Drosophila melanogaster: one gene and its partner. The protein of the gene in region 1 interacts with the protein of each later gene in a pairwise test. Each region holds a gene or a part of one and is shown in the gene's direction. Other genes may lie near its edges.

Region 1 (11,846 bases):
CAAATAGCTCTTCACGCGGTTGAGAATAACTTCAAAAATGCTGAGGCCACAGCAAAGACGCTCACGAGTCAGCAAATCTCCCTCTCGTGCTATCATTGCTTGCTGTTGGTAAAGATTATTATTATAAAGTTAATCAATTAAGTTTGGGGGCTCACCTTTGCAGTGCCAATCTTTTCCACGTTTGAAACTATCTGCAGATTGGCAAACTGTGCTTCAAGACGCTTTTGCTTAGCCTCCGGTTTTTCATTCTCTGAAATGGGTAGAGATGTAAGTAAGAAAAACTACCCATGAAAGCATCCACTTGTACATACCTTTGCAAAAAGGTCTGGGAAAGATGTTCTGGAAGAGGGCGGCGTGCAGTAGATCGCACACCTCCTCCTGCGAGAGCGCCTGTTCGATCAGCAGGCAAAAGATAATGCTGTTGCCAAACTCCCGGAAAGACTGAAATAGCTCTGTCTTCGCGTCCGGATATTGCACGATGTCTGTAAGATGAGCCTGATAGTAGCTGAGCACTCCAGGCGAACCATATTCGCAACGGGGTAGTTTGCATGACTTGGGCATGGCAATCATCAGCGTCTTGGTGAACTGCAGCAGCGAGCCCTGGATCAGTGGCTTAACAATGTCCTTCAGTATAATGTCCATGACGACTGCTATGCCCTGATAGCCCAGCAGGCGGCACATGGCATGGAAATGCGGTGAACCTACAAAGCCAGTGTACTGGCCATACTGTGTGGAATAGGCAGCATTCAGCTGCTTGGAACCCCACAGATAGTAATGGGACATTTGTGGCGGCTTCTCACGCTGAATAGCCTGTGACGACGAAAGATTCACTTTGGTTCGAATGAAACTGCAAGAGATAATAGTAATAATAAGTATTTTAAACAATAGAAAATTGGCGGCACACCCACCGATTCGTGGCTGCATTATAGCAGTAATTGACCAGAAAGTCGTAGTTCAATTCCACAAAGACGTGCAGTGTTATTCTGCCGTAAGGCGCCAGTACATTGTGGTTAGCCTCCTTTACCATGCCGTCAAAGTTATCCAGGGCCAAGTACTTGCTTAGCAACTTGTGGCAAATTCGATTCGCCTCTAGCAGGCCTTCGAGTTCCTGAAATTAAGCGAATTAGAGACCGATTCTAGACATCTGTAGGATTCCACTTACCACAATGCCGGTTATATCGTTGCCCTCGAAACGACTGATGGCCAACTCAATGCTCTTGTGCATGTTGGCGTTTATGCGTTGTGTGATCAGTTTGTTCAAGTCAATAGAACGGCCTTAAACGAATGGAGAAACCATTAACCAAAAGATCATGATGCAATGGGTGTTTTGCTTACCCAAAAGTTGGACATGTCGTTGTTTTAACAAGGTCTCATAACGATTATTGCGGGGATACGACTGGAAGTTGAAACCGAGTACCTCGCACTCCAAACGGAATCGCTTGTCCAAGAAGATGCTGCCCGCCAATTGCTTGTAATGGGCAAAGATCTGCTCGCTCAGCTTGTAGACAAACTGATCGAAGCACAGATTGACTTCGGCCTCCACTTCGTCGTACAGGAACTGCTTTCGGAAGACAGTGAGTGCGTAGTACGCCGAGTCGTTGTACAAGTCCAGGGGATACAAGACAAATCTGTGTGAGGCACTTAGTTAGTTCAGATCATTTCACCTATTCGCCATTTACTTACTCCATCATTGAGGGCTCCTTCGTTTGCAGAATGTGATCGGTTAGGATCCAGGGCATGGACATTTCAATCGGAAACTGAATGCGCTTCTCCATGGTGATCAGATCCTTGCACTCCTCGTTGTGCTGATGCCGCACCAAGCACTTGTTAACCTTACGACCCATGGTCATCTCCAAGTAGAACTCGCGATACCACAGCTGCGAGAGATCGCAGCACTTCTGAAGCGTGTCGCTGAAGTTGAGCAAGTAGCTCCAGTAGAACGATGTCTTGTGGAACGTGTCGATCTGCAGCAAACAGTTTCCGTCGATGTCCTTGCGCAAAGTGCGCTTGCCGCCGCTTTTGTCGGCAATCAGAGACTCCAGCATGGTGCGCACCATGTATAGCTGAGTGGAGGAAGGTCCCACATTGAGGCGAGGCACCTGGATGCGGAAGCCGCCGTCGGGATCCTTCTTGCCCTTGGCCACTGGATCGTCGGTGGGCTCATAGCCCTTTTGCCAGTCCGCCGATGTCTCTCGCACCGACATGATGATGCTCCGGATAAGATCCTTCTTATTTTTTACGGCCTTTCGCAGCGGTTCACGAAGCGAAAGCTGCACGAAGTCCTGCAGCTCGGAATAGATGTTACGCCGGATAGCCTCGCACAATACGGTTTCAATGCGCGCCATTAGCACCTGCAGTCCCTTTATCATGGCGATGACCTCGATCAGCGCGAACTTCTCTTCCGAGGTGTAATTGTAGCGGGTGGCCCGCTCGTACTCCTCAGCCTCCACGGGGCACTCCTTGTTCTGGTGATGATCAGTCGGATGCAGGAGCTTCCAGGAGTACAACTCGGTGACCACACTGGTCCACTCGGACAGCAATTGAAGGCCGCGCAGAGCCAGGTCGGCCGTAATCCGGTTCTCGGCATCAGAGGGATTCTCCTTGACGGTGGTGGTCACCTCGTTTGTGTATCGCGCCAGCTCCGAAATGTACTTGACGTGATCCTCGCGTATCTGCGGCAAATGCACCATTAGATCCGCCTGTGGGCTGATGGCGTTTGAGCTGGACAGCGGCCACTTGCTGGAATCGAAGTGCTTGCTGCGCTTTATGTAGTTGAAGGGAGCAATCTGCATGTCGCCGAAGAGGGGCACCACTTCCAGGTTCTTAAAGATGCGATCGATGCGATCCAGCCGTATCTTCTTCTTTTGATCAAGTTTGTTGATATTGCACGCATCGCTGTCCATAAGGAACAGGCCAAAGCCCATAACTTTTACCAGCATGTGCTTCTCCTCAGGGGTCAAGTACATCTTTGTCTCGAACATATGCACGCAAATGTTGACCACATCTGAGAGCAGATCCTCGTAGCCCACGATCTTCTCCAGCGTGTCCTTGACCGTGTCGCGAATCTTGTTCTGCGTGGCCAGGAACATGGACAGATTCTGCGACTCCTGCAAGGTGTGCGAGTCCGACATCACTTTGAGGAACTGCGCAGCTCGCCTGTAGGTGGAGTAATCGTTCTTCACGCTGGACTTCATGTTCTTCAGCTCGTCCAGCACGGCAAACATGTTGATAAACTTGCCTAGCGTCAATAGGTACGCCTCGGACACGAAGTCCTTGCGCTTCTCGGCGTGGCACAAGCGCTTCACCTCGCCGGAGAAGGCCTCGATGGCCTTGCGTTGGAAGTACATGAAGTTGAGCAGCTTGTTCACCTCCGGGGCTAGCACCTCGACCGTCTTCTCGTAGATCTCCACGCGATTCGGCTGCTCATTGGACTTGGGCTGCGGAATGGCGCGCGAGCAGCAGCGCCAGGTGTAGAGCATTACTGCGTGTTTCTGCCCCTCGTCCAGGAGCACATTCTGCGGGCGGAGAGAAGGGGTTCAGAGCTGTGAGTAATGCTAATGCGATAAGCCGGATACGCTAACTCACCAAGTTGGCATGGGTGGTGGCCTCCTCGATGTACTTGGCGATACCCGTGACAAATCCATTGCGATCCTCGAAATTCGTATCGAAGTTTGCCTTGTAGATAATCGAGCAGGGCTGCGCCTCGATGCAGGGCTGCTCGTCCGGCAGGGATAGCTCGTCCAACACCTCCACGTTGGACAGCGCGTCGGCTAGCGTAATCTTCTCCGTCATGCTGGGCTGCTTATCATGCTCCAGCAGCGCGAAATGGTTAAATTCTAACAAGGCGGGGCCCCAATCCAATCGACACAAATTTTTTTCGCCACAAATACAACACGACTTTTACCATTCGCCTGGGTGCGTGGACACGTGGCCATAATTAGCACATTTTTGCTGGCGGTTGGCGTCTACGATGTGCTTATGCTTATATGGCTGCGCACCGCTAATTTCGATAAGAGAAAGATAATCGATAAATACGGCGCATTGGCGGCACATCACATCACTAGCGTCTGTGGTTCCGTTTCGTTTTAGCGAACTCAATTTCTCCTATTTTATATTGCATTTTCCGTTAAGAGTAGCCTACAATTCTGCAAGATGTCGATGTTTTGGGGTAAGTCGAACTGATCTCACTTGCCCCCTCCGGGCTGGTTGTGCCAACGAGCTCTTGGGTGCTCCGACCGCGCTTTTATTGCCACCACGTGCTTGCCGCTCGATTTACCGGCAGCGTGGAGCGGCGCCATTTGCACGCCGATGTAAAGTAAACCATGTTTTTGACCAACTGTGTCCTCTTCCAGGTTTGAACATGAAGCCTGAGCGCAAGTACTCGCAGACGATCATCAAGTCGTTCCACATCTCGGGCGTGGCACTCGACAAGGGCCAGGAGGCCAAGTTGTACCTCGCTGCCGAGAAGCAGGAGTACATCGTGGCCACCGTGACCAAGGCCATTCCACAGGTTGCGCTCGACCTGAACTTCAGCAAGGGCGATCGCATCATGTTCTACACCGCCGGTAAGACCTTTTATGTCCACTATGTTCGCATGTTTATCCGTTTCTGACGCTTTCGTTCGTTTCACAGGCGACGCCAGCGTTTCTCTGTTGGGCTACTTGCACGACATTGATTCCGAAGATGATGAGGATGACGATCAAATGACGATCGAGAATTTGCTGAACTCCAAGGCGATCAAGAATAGCAAAAAGTCTGAAGATGATGAGGATGAGAATGAGAGCGGCGAGGAGGACGAGGAGGATACTGATGACGATAGCCAGATAATCGAGGAATACGAGTCCTTCCTCGAAAATGGTGAGGAGGAAGATGACGACGATGTTGATGAGGATAACGAGGAGAGTGGCGAGGAGGATGAACAGGACAGCGACGACTCCGAAGCTGAAGAGGAACAGCCAAAGGCCAAGGTTGCCAAGCTCTCTCCTGGCGCTAGCGCCAAGAAATCTGGCAAGGAGCAGAACGGTGTGGCCAAGAAGGAGGAGGCCAAGCAGCAGCAAAAGAAGAAGGAGAAGCCAGAGGCCAAGAAGGAACAACCCAAGGCCAAGGAGCCAGCCAAGCAGCAACCAGCTTCTAAGGATCCACGTACTATCACCGGAGGCGTGAAGATTGTGGATCAGGTCGTCGGCAAAGGCGAAGAAGCCAAGCAGGGCAAACGCGTATCTGTTTACTACATCGGCCGCCTGCAGTCGAACAACAAGACCTTCGACAGCCTCCTGAAGGGAAAACCATTTAAGTTCGCCCTGGGCGGCGGAGAGGTCATCAAGGGCTGGGACGTGGGAGTCGCCGGCATGAAGGTGGGCGGCAAGCGAGTCATTACCTGCCCCCCGCACATGGCGTACGGCGCACGGGGAGCTCCACCGAAGATCGGACCGAACTCCACTCTCGTCTTCGAAGTGGAACTGAAAGCTGTGCATTAGTGCACTATATTAACATCATATAGACTTGTAATCCTAAGTAAGTATCCACGTCGTACAACTTGATAAAAATGTTAAATAAACTCTGTTTTCCGGCTGTTCATAAATCAACAGTTTTGTAACAATCGCATGTATTTGGTATGGGGTCTCTAAGGGGTTTTTTCGGGTGAACATACATCCAGCAGGGGCTCAGACTGGAGTTTCCAGTGCTCGAGTACGTAAGGCAGCCGTTCGCTGGGATCTGTGCTCCAGTGGTGCAGACGACACTTGAGTCGCGCCTGTTCCAGCTTGTTTATGGTCACAGTGCAGTAGAAGTCCTTGTTCTCCTTCTTCAGGTCGGGTCCCTCGATGCGCTCCTTGGGCAGGGTAATGCACTCCTCGCGACAATAGAACCCAGTCTTGCGCAGCGAGGCCTTGATGTGCCAGGGCTCGAGCACCCATGGCTCATCCTTGTTCATGACCACCGCCAGCACAATGGTCTCCAGCATGTTGACCGTGCGCTGGGCGTAGGGGGAGCTGTGTTTAACAGTCGATTTTTCAGCCTCTGTCTTGGCGTACTTGGCCACATTCTCCGGCGTATTGTACGCGGCCAAACCCGGCAGCAGGAGCTTATTGTAGACAAAGTGCGGCTTCATTGACACCACGTCGCCCTTGTCGCCAACGCCCTCGACGAAGGTCTTTAGCACCACCTCGATGTTGGGCCGCTTTTTGACCAGCGTGTCGTCCACGAGCTCGTAGATGAAGTTCTTGGCCCTCATCCGGCGGGGTTTCTCGTTGGTTTTGTGCAGCGGCGGGTCATATTTGCGCTTCAGGACGAACGTGGTCTGGAAGCAAATTGGTGGTGAATGGGGATCGCTTCCCTAATCCAGGAGAGCACTTACCCGCACTTGCTGCTGCAGGCTGGTGGCCGATTTAAGCAAATTTAACGGCGTTACGTAGATGTTCTTCAACATTTTTACCACCAATATGTCTGCGTTGCCAGACTACTCAGCCAGTTTGCAGTGTTGCCAGATATGATTATTTAATCTGCGTGAGTTCAGCAGTAAAATTTTCAGTGACTTTGAAAACGATTATGAATTTAGTTTTTTTATTGCAACTATTTCTTTACATTTTAATAAAGCAAAATAATTTGCCCAATTTACCTTTTAATTGATTAAAAAAAATGTACCTTTGAAAGTATTATGACTGTCAATTTTAATTTAATAGTTTCATTACAAAATAAAAGATTGACTATGCCAATATTTCGGCGAACGCGCCCATCGACATGCAGTATGCGTACACGCTGTGAAGCAGTTTTTAAACGGAAACCGTTAGTCGAATTTATTTACAATATGACATTTTACAATCAGGACTCAATAGTGTTTTGTATCCAATCAACGTACTTGCCCACCAGCGTGTAAACTCCTGGCCATCCGGCCAGACCGCACGGAGTCGGTCCAAATGACACGACGCCGGCCAGGAAGTAGTAGGTGTTCACCTTGTTGGTGTCCAAGCCGATGAGCGGTCCCCCGGAGTCACCGCGACAGGAGTCGACGCCTTCCTTGCCGCCGGCACACATCTGTGTGTCCTCGAGGAGAATGTCCTGGCTGCTGTAGACGTTCTGGCACTCATCCATCCGGAATCCCTCCACGGCTGCCTTCAGCTTGAGGTTGCTGGCCGACAGCTGCTCCGTTTTGCCCCAGCCGGCCACGTCCATGGTGATGCCGTCGAAGGTGGCCGACCGCAGATTGACGTCCAGAGGCAGGCAAATGGGTCGCACAAAGTCGGTGTACTCCACCTGCTGGGCCAGACGCAGCAGGGCTATGTCGTTGACCTGGTTCTTGGAGGCCGGTATATAGTCGGGATGGGGTATAGTACGCTCCACGGGCACGTCCAGATGCGGTGGCGCGCAGTCCTTCATGCCGCGCACATCTACTTCGCAATCGGGATTAGTGTTGGTGTCCCATTCGCCCAAACGAACACCGGACAACCGCCAGTCGGTGGGCAGTGCCTTTCCGTTGACACAATGCGAGGCTGTGATCACATATCTTGTGCTGATCAAGGATCCGCCGCAATGGTGACCCTTTTTGCCCTGGCCTGCATGTAGGAATTAACCAGTGGATAAGTGCGTTCAGACTTAAGACGATGCCCCTCTACTTACTTTTGGTGTATTCAATTAGAGCCATCCAGGGGAACTCGTCGATCTTGGTCTTCATTCCGCCATAGATGCGATTGGACAGGATGTTGCCGCATTGTCCTGGCAGCGGCAGAAGGCTGTTGCTGGTTACATTGGGCTTGGGCGGTGGCGTCGTCTCCGATGAGCTCTCCCTGTAGCGGTCCGGACAGCAGATGAGCACCTTGCCGTTCGTATAGCCGCACTGGCTGCGACTCAGGTAAAGCCGGTCCGTGTCCCGGAGCGGGGTGGTGGTCAGCAGGCCGTATAGGTACTTGCAGTCCTCCAGATGGATGCACAGCGCACGCTCCCGATTCGGCGTTATGCAGCGCCCATAGTTGGGCACCTGGGCCGCCTCGTTGGGGAAGTAGAACTCTGGAAATCCAGACTTTAGGTTCAGAGAGCTTACCAATATTGTGAATACATAAATTAGGTCATTAGCTATGGAAGTACGGAAACAGGTTTCCAGCGACTTGTGAAGGCCCGCGGCAAAAAAAAACAAATACGTTAAGCTAGTCATGTCCAGCAGATGAGCATCTTGGCAGTCTTCTATTTACTTACGGCCCGCCGATGATTTCGCCAAAATGCCCAAAAAGAGGCAGATAATCGATGGCTTTAGCATTTTCGTTGCGCAATCGGACCTCGTTAGTCCTTTCTCAAGACGTCGTCAGTGGTTTGCGGATAATGTTTTGCCTAAAAACAATATTACAGACCGACCGCAGAAGCAGTTATCAAAATAAACGGCGCGATAATATGGACGATACCAGGTGCCACAGCGGAGCGGAGTGAAACGAAGAGGCCGAAGCTGAGCTTGGCGCACAACTGAATCTTCGGACGGACGCGGTTCTCGGCCTGCGAGCTTTGTCGCAAGCTTTTTGGCGAGTCTCCAAATCAGATATGAAGATAATCGTGGGAGCAGATCTTTATCTCTCTTCCAATTATTATTCTTAGTAATTGTCAGTTGGCTTATTTAACTTTGGTACTAATAGAATTTACTTTGTCACATGCTGAGTGTAAGTAAAGTACTCGGCAAATTTAAGGGAGTATCTACCATTATTTAATCCCCGCCTAAGTTCGATTGTATCACATGGTGTTTTGATAGCAAAAAGCACTATCATTAACGATAAGCTAACGGTATATTTCGTTCTACAGCAAACTGAAAGTTCTACCGACTTTAAATCGGACCTAAAGCAAAGTTTAAAGTCGCAGTTTAAATTGCAGCGGTCGCGTTGCCAAACAACACAGTATGACCGAATTCGCAATGTTGTTTGCCACTGTTTTGGCAACTCGCATATAGCGGTACGTCGCAGCTGGTGATAAGTTAAATGTTTAATTTAAAAAATGAGCGTGGATATTTAGTAAAGGTCGAATAGGCGGCAAGTTTGGAGATCGGCAGTGGTGTAAGTAGTACGTCGCTTGAGTGCCGAGTGAGTGCTGTATGTGCAGCAATAATGCGAATGCAAGTCTCATGTGTCTGGTCCGATATTTGCAGCTCATAATTTATTCAAAATGCGCTTTGTGCGGCGGGGAACTGTCCCCAAGATTGCAGCATGTTGCTGTGTGGTGGTCCTGCTGGTCACCTGGTATGTGTTGAACGTGGAGCGGGATCTGGATAAGAGCCTCAAAATGTAAGTATGTCTAGTTGTGCGTCACAGCGGCTTGGGATATTGATTGTACGATGTTTGTCCATACATATGTATATGTACATATGCGCATATTTGTGATAAAGAGTATTTATCTTTTGCAACTAATTCAATTTTGTATTTAATTAAAGCGAAATCATCGAGCGCTCCATAAGATCGGCTGTGAATCGTGGCGAGTGCCGGCATCCCCATCTGCCGCTGGACAATCCGGACATCATGAAGTTCTACAAGCCGGTTGAGCGAATAAACTGCGGCGAGGGCATGGACTGGGTCATGTGTGAGGTTGGTTGGGACTGGGCCCCTTCTACAAGAGCTGATTGCTTAACTTAAACCTCGTTTCCCCCAAAGAAATCCATTTGCTTTGTGCGACCAGAGATTGCGTCCAGCCACGAGGATGTGATCTGCTCCTACACGGACATTATTCGCAAGTCGGACTACAAGGTTCGCTTTGGGCAGTCACTGCGCATGAAGGAGCCCTATGTGCTGCAGGCCAGCGACTTTGTCAAGGTGGTCTGTCGATCCTCCAGCGGCGAGAGGTGACCATTATCTTATTTTATAGTTATGCCTATACTTTAAAGAATGATCTTCATGTACTTAGTTGGTTTGGCATGGCCCACGGAATACGGGATACGGTGCCCCGTCCACCGGCCTCCAATTTCTCCCCGAACTTGGCCGTCCTACCACCCGAGGCGGTTGCGCAGGCCCAGCAGCAGATGCAGGATGGGGCCACAGCTCCCATCTACAATGTCCTCATGTTTGGCTTCGATTCGCTGAGTCGCAATGCCTTCATTCGCAAGCTGCCCAGGACCTACGAGTATCTCACCCAACAGTTGGGCGCCACCGTTCTCAAAGGCTATAACATTGTGGGCGATGGTACGCCACAGGCGCTGGTGCCCCTACTGACGGGTTTCACGGAACTGGAGCTGCCGGAGACAAGGAAGCGGTTGTCCGGGGCAGGCAGCGTGGATTCGTATCCTATGATTTGGAAGGATTTTGCCCGCCTGGGATATATGACCTCCTTTAATGAGGATTTGCCCAATGTGGGCACTTTCACGTACCGCATGACAGGGTTTGAGGCCCAGCCGGTGGACCACTACCTGCGTACCTACTATGTCCAGGCGGAGCACATGGCCGCCGAGAGCAAGCCCAACTGCATTGGCCACCAGCCTGATCACATCACCATGCTGGAGTACACAAAAAACGTATGTTCTCTTTCGAAATGTGCTTGGAAACTAACTCATTGTATAATTTTCGTACAGTTTATGCTTAAGTATCGCGATGCACCGCGCTTTGCCTTCAGCTTCCATGGCGGCTTGTCCCACGACTCCATCAACTTAGTGGGAGCAGCGGATGATGATGTCCATGACTGGCTGGTGGCGCTCAAGGAACGATCGCTGCTAGACGACACCATTCTCATCATGATGGCCGATCATGGCAATCGATTTGCCGAGGTGCGAGCCACTCTGCAGGGAAAACAGGAAGAGCGTCTGCCGTTCTTCAGTTTCGTATTTCCCGAGTCGTTTAAGAAGCGCTTTCCGCAGGAGTACAAAAACTTTCTGGCCAACGAGCATCACCTGACCACGCCATTCGACATTCATGCCACGCTGAAACACGTAATACGTATGTACGACAGAGCGTTAGACATCTACAAGATAATAATGCTGGATTTTTCACAGAACTGCAAACCGCTGTGGATCAATTTGGAGAAATAAACGATCCGAAAACTGAAACAAGCCCGCCTGGGATTCGCATCTCGGAGTTAGCCCGTGGACGTGCCATGTCGCTGTTGGATCCAATTCCGAGCAATCGATCCTGTGCGGATGCCTACATAGAGCCTCACTGGTGTGCCTGCCTCAATTGGCTGCCATTGCAGCTGAACGACTCCCGGTATACGGGCATCATTCTCAAGGCTGCCCAAAGTATTGTAAATGCCATCAACTTGGCCACAGTCGAGCAACGCCAATACTGTGCACCTCTGGAGGTTCGAATCATCAATTTAATGATTACATTTCCAGATAAGATAAAGATCATACTTCCATTTGTTTCATTGTTCAACAGATTCACCGTGTAAATTGGGCGCTGCGTCTGCAGCCGCACAAGGAGCTGCTGCAATTCAGGACAAACAGCGACCGCGACGGCTTCCTGGCGGACATGACGGGTCAGACGCTGGTCCGCGATGAGATGTACCAGCTCCAGGTGGTAACGATGCCCGGCGAGGGACTGTTTGAGGCGAGCGTGGCCTATAGCCTGCACACGTTCAGTGCCACAACGAAACTCACGGACATCTCGCGCGTCAATAAGTATGGAAATCAGGCCCGGTGCATATACGACCGGGATCCGGAGCTGCGGAAGTACTGCTACTGTCGCGATTGATTTGTGCACAAAATGACAAGTCCAAAACATAGAAACTGCTAAGCAATCAACTGGAATAGATTTCTGCACTGATTGTAGATTTTAGATTACTCCTTCCAAAGAATATTGTCACTGGCTCCTTAAGTTAAAAGATCTGCCTCAGTTTGTAATATACGTTCCTTTAATCAACGATAGTAATGAGTTAATAAAAAAATGACATTTTTG
Region 2 (7,805 bases), on another chromosome or scaffold:
TGAAAATTATATAAAATTAGTAGACAACAAACCCCTAGTATAAACAACAACGCGAGATTCTACGGGGCACCCAGATCGAATTGTGTGTGGACGGGTCCCGAGCAAGCAATAAAAGAATACGAAGACGCGGTATCCACATACCATTAACCCATCCACATTTACAGCGCCTCACTGCTAGGAGGGCATATTCGAACCCCCTCTTTATTTTTTGCCCAACTTTGCACAGTTGTTCTGTAAGTTAAGTTTAATACGTTGAGCCAACGAATCGTGAGGTATTATTTATTTAAACAAAACGAAACAAACGAAAAAAAAAAAACATAGGAAAGAGGAGGAAATAAGGAAATTCAATTGAAATTATTTGCTGATACTGTTCGCAGCTAGTCGAGCAGATACATAGGTAGCCTGTAAACAATAAAACAATTACACGCGGATATATACACCCACTGTAATCACAGATGTCAGTGCTTGATATACACATGCCTAGGTCTAGTGGAACTGGTAGTTCTACCATGTTGTACTATTTGTAGTAGGAGTCCCAAATCTGATTATGCTTATGTCACCCTTTATTATAGGAATGTTCTCTGTATATTATTGCGTCTCTTTTGCGTCTACGTATATATTTTTTGGTAAATGATTTTTTATATATACATATACACATTTATATTTGTAATTTGTATTTATCCATGTGCAAAAATAAATTATGATGATTATTTTTTAAAGAGTCGTCCCCCTCGAAGCATGCATAACAGATTGTAAAAAATGAATCGATTTATATATAATACGAAAATCACACACTACCCACTTGTATCTGAGCGAAAGGGCCTTAACAATTAGTAGGATGCATGATCGATGTATGCAGATCGGTTATAAAAACAGATATAGCAGGCATATTATTCGCATGCGAAAACCGTTAATAGAATAATATATTATAATGGCAATATGTGTATGCAACTAATAAGCCCTAACTTCTAGTTAATTACTGCTTTCCTATGTTATAAACCAAATGGCGATATAATCAAAACAAAAGACAAGCCCACATAAGTTAAATGTGTATGCTACCAACATAACAAACCTTTGAAGATCAAGCTGAATTATGTATTTCTAATATTAAATATATCACAACCCACACATAAAAAAAAAAAAACAAACACGACAAATAGAACAACAAATTATACAAGCAATTCCCCTATTTATTTAGAACCACACTGAAACACTAAAGAAATTCGCTTCTTATCGTAAATCCACAATTGCATAATTTATACGATTAAACAAAATATATATTTATGTGAATAAACTGTAACTAATTCTCAAGGCAATCATCCAAATGCGATTCGCTACTTCTTGGTTTCCAGAAAGTCCCCCAAAAATGTCATGGTCATCTGAATGGAATGCTGCTGCAAGAACCTCTCGATAAGGGGGAACATAGGAAGTTTTCAATGGAACTTTACTCTGGCGAATCTTATCGGATAGTTTGTACACAACCGCAAAAAGTAGCACTAATAGTGGTTGACTTCTATTAAAAGTAAAGCAACAGGTGGATCATGGAAATCATACTGATTCAGATTCATTATCTTTTCAAAACCTATTGAAAACAAAAGTTACTGGTTTAGAAGGCAAATGAACCAGAAATTTTAAATTTATACTTATATAGTGTAAAATTGTTTCCAGTGCTCGATAGTTCCATGTTTTATTATTTGAAAAACAACTGCCGTTAACAAAGCGGTATGACATCATCAATGCCATCATAACAAATCAGCTGCCGCTGATAAGCGCAGCTTGGAGCTTTTATGTTGTACCCAACCTACTAGGTACAAGACTGAGTGTGCTTTACAACACTAAACTGTTGGCGAGCTTTCCTCTGTTTCGCAGCTCGGACCGCCTTTCATAACGTAGTAAGTTTTCGTTGCGAACGGACGTAGCCCAACCAACTTGGCCTTAACCCTTGCGCTCCCTCCGATTTATTCCGCGGCAAACACATTCCAGTGGACAGTGGTGCAGTTCAGCCCAAGACCAACCTACATTTTAGCTCCCTGCAAACCCGTTTCTTCATCAAATAACTATGGCGTCCAACCGTGCAGCGAAGTCTGGTTTTGCCGCCGAGGCCCAGCGCAAAGTAAGTACCAAATAGCAACAACAACCGCACCCCCCACCCAAAAACCGAAGAGCGCCAAACAAAACAACACAATAAACAAATTGCCCAAAAAAAAATCAACTTTTGCACGGGTGTGTGCGTGAGTTTAGAGCTGCATTGACTTTATTTGGCGCTGCGTTGTCAAGATTTTATCTTCGCGCGCCAAATGCCAAAAATTAGCCAAAAATGGTCTTGAAATTGCCAGCGTCTAACAAGGAATGACCTCATTTCGCTGATAAGTCGAACAAGTATTTATGTACATACATATGTATATAGGAATATATACATGCATGTACACACATGTGTAATGCATGCGTAATTCGAAAGCTTGAAGATGATTTAGGTGATTTTGAGGCATTGTCAGTGCGGGTGATTCAAATCGAAGATCGAGAAAACAGTTGGTTATCCATAAATCAAACAATTAGTAGTAGTTAGTAAAGCTCTGGAAATTTCGATATGAATAATATCCCAAGTTCGAACAGTATACATTATAAAGATGAGCTAATATAATCCTAATTAATTGTGCTGCAATAAAAGCAAGTCTGAATACATAGGTGCTACTTGTGGAGTATCCACTGTAGAAGGAAGACCCTTTGGATGATCTCAACCCAACTATTGCAGCATGGTAGCTTCCGCAATGTAAATTGACATTAGTTCCGTCCATTAGCAGCACTTTGCCTCAAATGCACTCATACAAATGCATCGGGCTTTTGTGGGTGGGATGGGGTTGGGGATGGGTTACCCGTACCCTTCGGCCATTTGGCCCTCGTCAAGTCGGGGTTACGCAATTCCAACCGCCCCTGGGCAGCCCCAAGTGAAATTGTATATGTCGCCGGCACAGGGGATTAAGTGCAGTCCGACGAAATCCACAACAAGACAACTACAGTTACAGCATTGCCCAAACAAAAAACGAAACAAATAATCGAGATTTTTCATATCCGAAGTTTTGTATACCCTTGAGGAGCACTTTACCAAGTTGTTGACAAACTGAAATATTTTGTTTTGCTTTAGCTTTGCTTATCTAAAAGTATTTCCACCCGGATTTCATTCTCTTGAGTCAGCCATTTGGCAAAAGGCCTTGTTTATCGGTATTATCTGTACTAGCGCATTTTTAAAACACAGTATGTTTTAAAACACAGTATGAAGTATGTTTTAACGTGGTTTATGGTGATATATCAGGCACTATGGTTATGAAAAATATTATGAGAACTCTGTAGTGTTTATTTATGCCATATCATGTTAAGCTAAAACATTTTGGTACTTGGAATAGGAAGAACCTTGGCATAGGGTATAGAAAAATAAGAGAAATAGAGGCGAGTGCCTGGAGGCGCAGCTGCTGGCGCGACTCCAAGCCGCGATCGAATGGCTCCCCAGGAGCCGAAGGCGATGATGTCATTCCTTCAGCTGTCCCTCCACTGGTGCTCCTCGATCCCTTCGCGATCCATTCAACTCGAAGGCGTTGTTAGTTTGAGCACTTTTGCCGCTCGCTGGGAGTCACTCATATCTTCTGAGGGGGATTCGGGTTCGGGTTTTGAGTTTTTGGGGGTGACAGGAGGTAGAGGCGATAGCAGCACCTTTTCCACCACATGAGCACTTAAAACTGAGTATGTGGCGTAAGCAAACAGCAAAACAAAAGTGAGGCAAAAAGGTATGAAAGCAATATTTTTGTTTGTCTCATGGGTTCTCTACACTCCGTGCTTGCGTGTGTGCTTTTTCCGACTTTTACGACCAGTCACCGACAAATTGGCATGGATCTCAAGTTTCGGCCAGGGAATTCGTAGCCCCTTTATTTTCAACCCTTTCCTGGGATCGTAGCACCAGCTGTCGGGAAAGTTCTAGGAATGAGGCAGAAAGGTCTCAAGTTACTCAAAGTATGTTTACTAATTTGTAACTACATAAACGATTGAATATATTAGTTTAGCAATCTTAGATTCAGCATGATACTATTTCCTTTCTGGAAATTCACCCCTAAGAAGCCGCACTGTAGTTGTTTTCTTTTCCAACTCCCTCCACGCTCGCAGCTGTATCTCACCGCATTGGCGGCACATGGGCCACGTACTAATCACTTGGCCTTTTTCGGAGTCAAGAATCCACACTCAATTAGCAGTGCATATGTGAAAGACACTGTGTACACACTTGTACATCCGCAGCACGCACCTCCCTGTATCTGTATCTATATATCAGTATAGGTACGGGTATCTCTATCAGTGCGGGCGACACGTAAGTGGAACACTTGGCCCACATGAACTCCGTGCTCCTAGATGGGTATAGCTAGGTATTCATTCCCGAACCTCTCCCCCAAAAATTTAACACTTGTTGGCCGCTAGTTTTAGATAAGCCATAAACAGTCGCGGGAGGTGGTCGACAGCGGCTTTATCGTAAATCAAATGCTGTTTTGGATTTCCGGTGAAACTACTGCCAGTGCCGAAAACACCTCGACAAATGAAAATGGAATGAAATTCTGCCCCCTGTCCAAATCCCTCCGAAAAAGGCACTCGATGGGGGCCCATACAACAACTCAGTCAACTGAAGTCGAAGTTGGTCGCTCGTAAACCAGACTCAAAAATCATATATGTATGTACGCAATTGACCTCGTTACATTTTTGCGGATTTTGTTTATGTTATCGTTGTGGAATTTTTGTCATTTTCCCATTTATTTATCCACCCAAAAGATATCGGTCAGCAATTGTCATGGATCATGACGCATTCGAATCGCAAAAGAAAGCGAAATCGGCGGTGGCATAGTGAATAATCACCAGATCTGGCCATTTCGTGGATTGATTTTTGAAGACGCGATTACGTAATTGTTTGCCTGGCGATGGATGCGTCAACTCCCAGCGATCCCTTTCGCAGCAAAATAAAAAAAAACACACATTTAACTAATCATCACCATCACCATCTACATCTATGTATCTGCGCTCAAATATTGCCAAAGTTCAAATTCAAGCCATAACGATGCCATGACATCACCACCATCGGCTTCAAAAAGCCATCAGCCAAGCAAAACGTGCCCCTGTCTCTTTTTCTGTGATCCTACAATGGATTATTATGCAATGATCATCAGTCTGGGGCTCCTCGCCGGCTTTTGGGCGGAAACTTCCGTCAAATTTGCAATAGGGATTCATTATTTATTAAGTATAAAACGTTTTTAGAATATTAGAGACACTTAGTTTCTTGCTGAAGCTAAAACTTATTTCTTAAAACAAACTGAATGGTACGGCTTAGTAATCCATTAAAGGAAGCATATGATTCCTAAAAATCAAGTTTTTAAAATATTTTATTTTCTGAATTTTTTAAATAAATGAGCTGGCTATCATTAACTACTTCCCGAAGTTTCGGAAACTTGCACAAATCTTTGATCATAAAACTCGTAGTGAAGTAAATTCTCGGAACTCTCACTCAATTGTGAAGTCTGAATCATGATGAACATAAATAATAATGTTATGTTGTACCAAAACATTTTCACTTTTCAAGTGGCGTAGGTGTGAATTAAATTGAGTTGGCGTGGGCAGGCGCTCTCCCAAGAAACTGGACTTTTTTCGGAGCTTGGGTTTCTGCTGACCCCCAGTTTTTTTTTTTTACAATTTTGGAAAGCAGGAGTTTTATGCTGGCTCAGCCAGTTTTTGAGCAATTTTAATTTCACTAAAAGCCAACCAGGCTTGGCTTGGCATGTCTTGGCCACTAATGCGCATTGCGTGTGGAATGCCATCCACCCAGAACGCACTTGAAAATAGAATACGTTGTACATCATGAGCTGGGAAATTAATTAGGTTCTTGAGTCTACTGAGCCCTTCATTGTCACGCCGCTTTGTAATGGCCCCTAATCGTGGCTAACTCATCAAGTGACCCAGAGACCCAAAAAAAAAAAAATGTAAAATGAAATATAATTTTGGCTGGGGAAACATAAGGAAATCATCGTAATTTCTAACGGCAAACGTTGACTAATTTGTAGTTCCGCTTCTAATTATTTATTGTGTTTTATACGTTTTGAGTTCGTATCGAGCGGTGGCTTTCGTCTGGAATTCTTGACTCCCGATAAGGCAGTAGTATATTCTAACCAGCTGTACATATGTTTTTAGAGAAATACTTATATATATATATATATATATATGTATGTATATATGGGGTGTACTCCATTACTGGCTGTACTTTTGGCCCGGCATTCGATCGTCGCCGAGTTTTGAGTCGACCTCATAGCGCACAAACCAAACAAAAACACAAATGAAACTCACTGGCTGGCTGACTGGCTGCTGACTCATTAAAACAGCGCTAAAAATATGTATTTTATAGAAGACGAGGCTTCGGAAGAATTGGAGGAATAACTTGGCTATTCTCCACCATTTTTCATTTAGTTTCGAACATTGTTTGTCTGTCCGGGGACCACCAACTGTCAAATTTGTTCTGCTGGATTTGTTTGCCGGATCTTGGGATCTTCGCAGAAGAGCCAAAAAACGTGTAAGAAACGATCGGAATTCATTAGGCTCTTAACGGCTTTTGGCTTACGATTATTATGTATGAATAGTATGCATAAACTGGCCGCAGAATCCCATAAACATCAGCATCAGCATCCCATTCCTAATCAAAATTTATTCATCTGCCCCGAGGGTGTCAATTTATCTGCCACCATCAGGGGCTCTAAGTTATGATCATCAACTTCTGGCCGCGACCAGATTTCAGATTCCCGATTCTCCAACGGAATGTCAATCAGAAATTGCTTTTATTAATTGTCTCACGCTTTCGATGATGAATGGTGCTGTTCCGTTGGCGTTCCGTTCATCGCTCTTTTCGGGCTCTAATGAATTGACCTCTGCTGTTAAGTGCTTGACCGTTAAGCTGAAAAAGTCGGACAAAGCAATTTGGCCAACGGTCGATTGCAATTATTGATAATCTCCAGTTTTGGCCAGCACGTTGGCTAGATAAAGCCATTTCCCGGCGATTACCATATACTGTGCTTATCTCACTCAAAGATCGCTGGCCTTTATTGGGTTCGAACAACAAAAAAGTCGTAAATTTTTAATCTACGATAGCCGCGGACTTCTGTGGCTCGGGAAGGGATTGGGTTGCTGGAATTAGTTGGAGTGGTATAAATACATATTGTGTGTGCAAAGTGCATTCACCTTCATTAAGCACACAAAAACATGGGGAAAAGCGTCCGGACTGTATTTCACTTTTGTTTTACTGCATCGCCAACTTCTCCCCCATTTCCCAACAATTTGTGGGCTTGCATTTCCCCACGTCCAGCGATAAGAAGTGGAATACAACTCAATTGGCGACAATCGTTCATTCGGTTGCTCTGAGATCATTCGTTTTAATAGACTTGCCAGTCAGAGCAAAAATCACACAAATACTAAATAGTAATACAATGAAGGCTAAATTAATAGGGAAAAAAACACAACTTAAAAAAATATTGGTACCACAAATAAAAAACTTTTAGATATGAGTTGTGAAGATAGCAACGCTGTTCAATCAAACTTTATCTATAGACAAAAAAAAACAATCTTATCAATATATTTGAAACATATATTTGATCAAAAATTCATTCATATAGTACTGAGTAGTATTGTATAATATTCAGCTCATAATATATTGCGAACAGTTTTTATAGCTCCACTAACTTAGTTTTTAGTACTTGTTCTTAATCTAAAATCAGTTTGTGACAGCGATTCAATTCAAT

Evidence for each region. The genes of interacting proteins can lie anywhere in the genome.
Region 2: the proteins of Fkbp39 (region 1) and Chd64 interact in a two-hybrid assay, tested with the Drosophila melanogaster proteins (one study listed by BioGRID).

What each region holds. Positions count from the first base shown.
Region 1 is NT_033777.3:15,325,335-15,337,180, reverse strand, and holds Fkbp39 (FK506-binding protein 39kD), read left to right. Parts: upstream 1-4,047; 5' UTR 4,048-4,152; coding exon 4,153-4,168; intron 4,169-4,352; coding exon 4,353-4,565; intron 4,566-4,632; coding exon 4,633-5,477; 3' UTR 5,478-5,597; downstream 5,598-11,846. Other genes in the region: Cyfip (cytoplasmic FMR1 interacting protein), read right to left, coding at 1-102, 156-250, 312-847, 909-1,108, 1,163-1,275, 1,336-1,628, 1,684-3,515, 3,586-3,792; mRpL9 (mitochondrial ribosomal protein L9), read right to left, coding at 5,624-6,298, 6,356-6,427; ea (easter), read right to left, coding at 6,820-7,550, 7,615-8,001, 8,188-8,248; CG6236 (uncharacterized protein), read left to right, coding at 9,136-9,254, 9,401-9,551, 9,618-9,805, 9,868-10,471, 10,529-10,889, 10,946-11,250, 11,328-11,642. UniProt on the Drosophila melanogaster protein: PPIases accelerate the folding of proteins. May function in a signal transduction cascade during early development.
Region 2 is NT_037436.4:4,116,464-4,124,268, reverse strand, and holds the start of Chd64 (Chd64), read left to right. Parts: upstream 1-1,880; 5' UTR 1,881-2,059; coding exon 2,060-2,113; intron 2,114-7,805.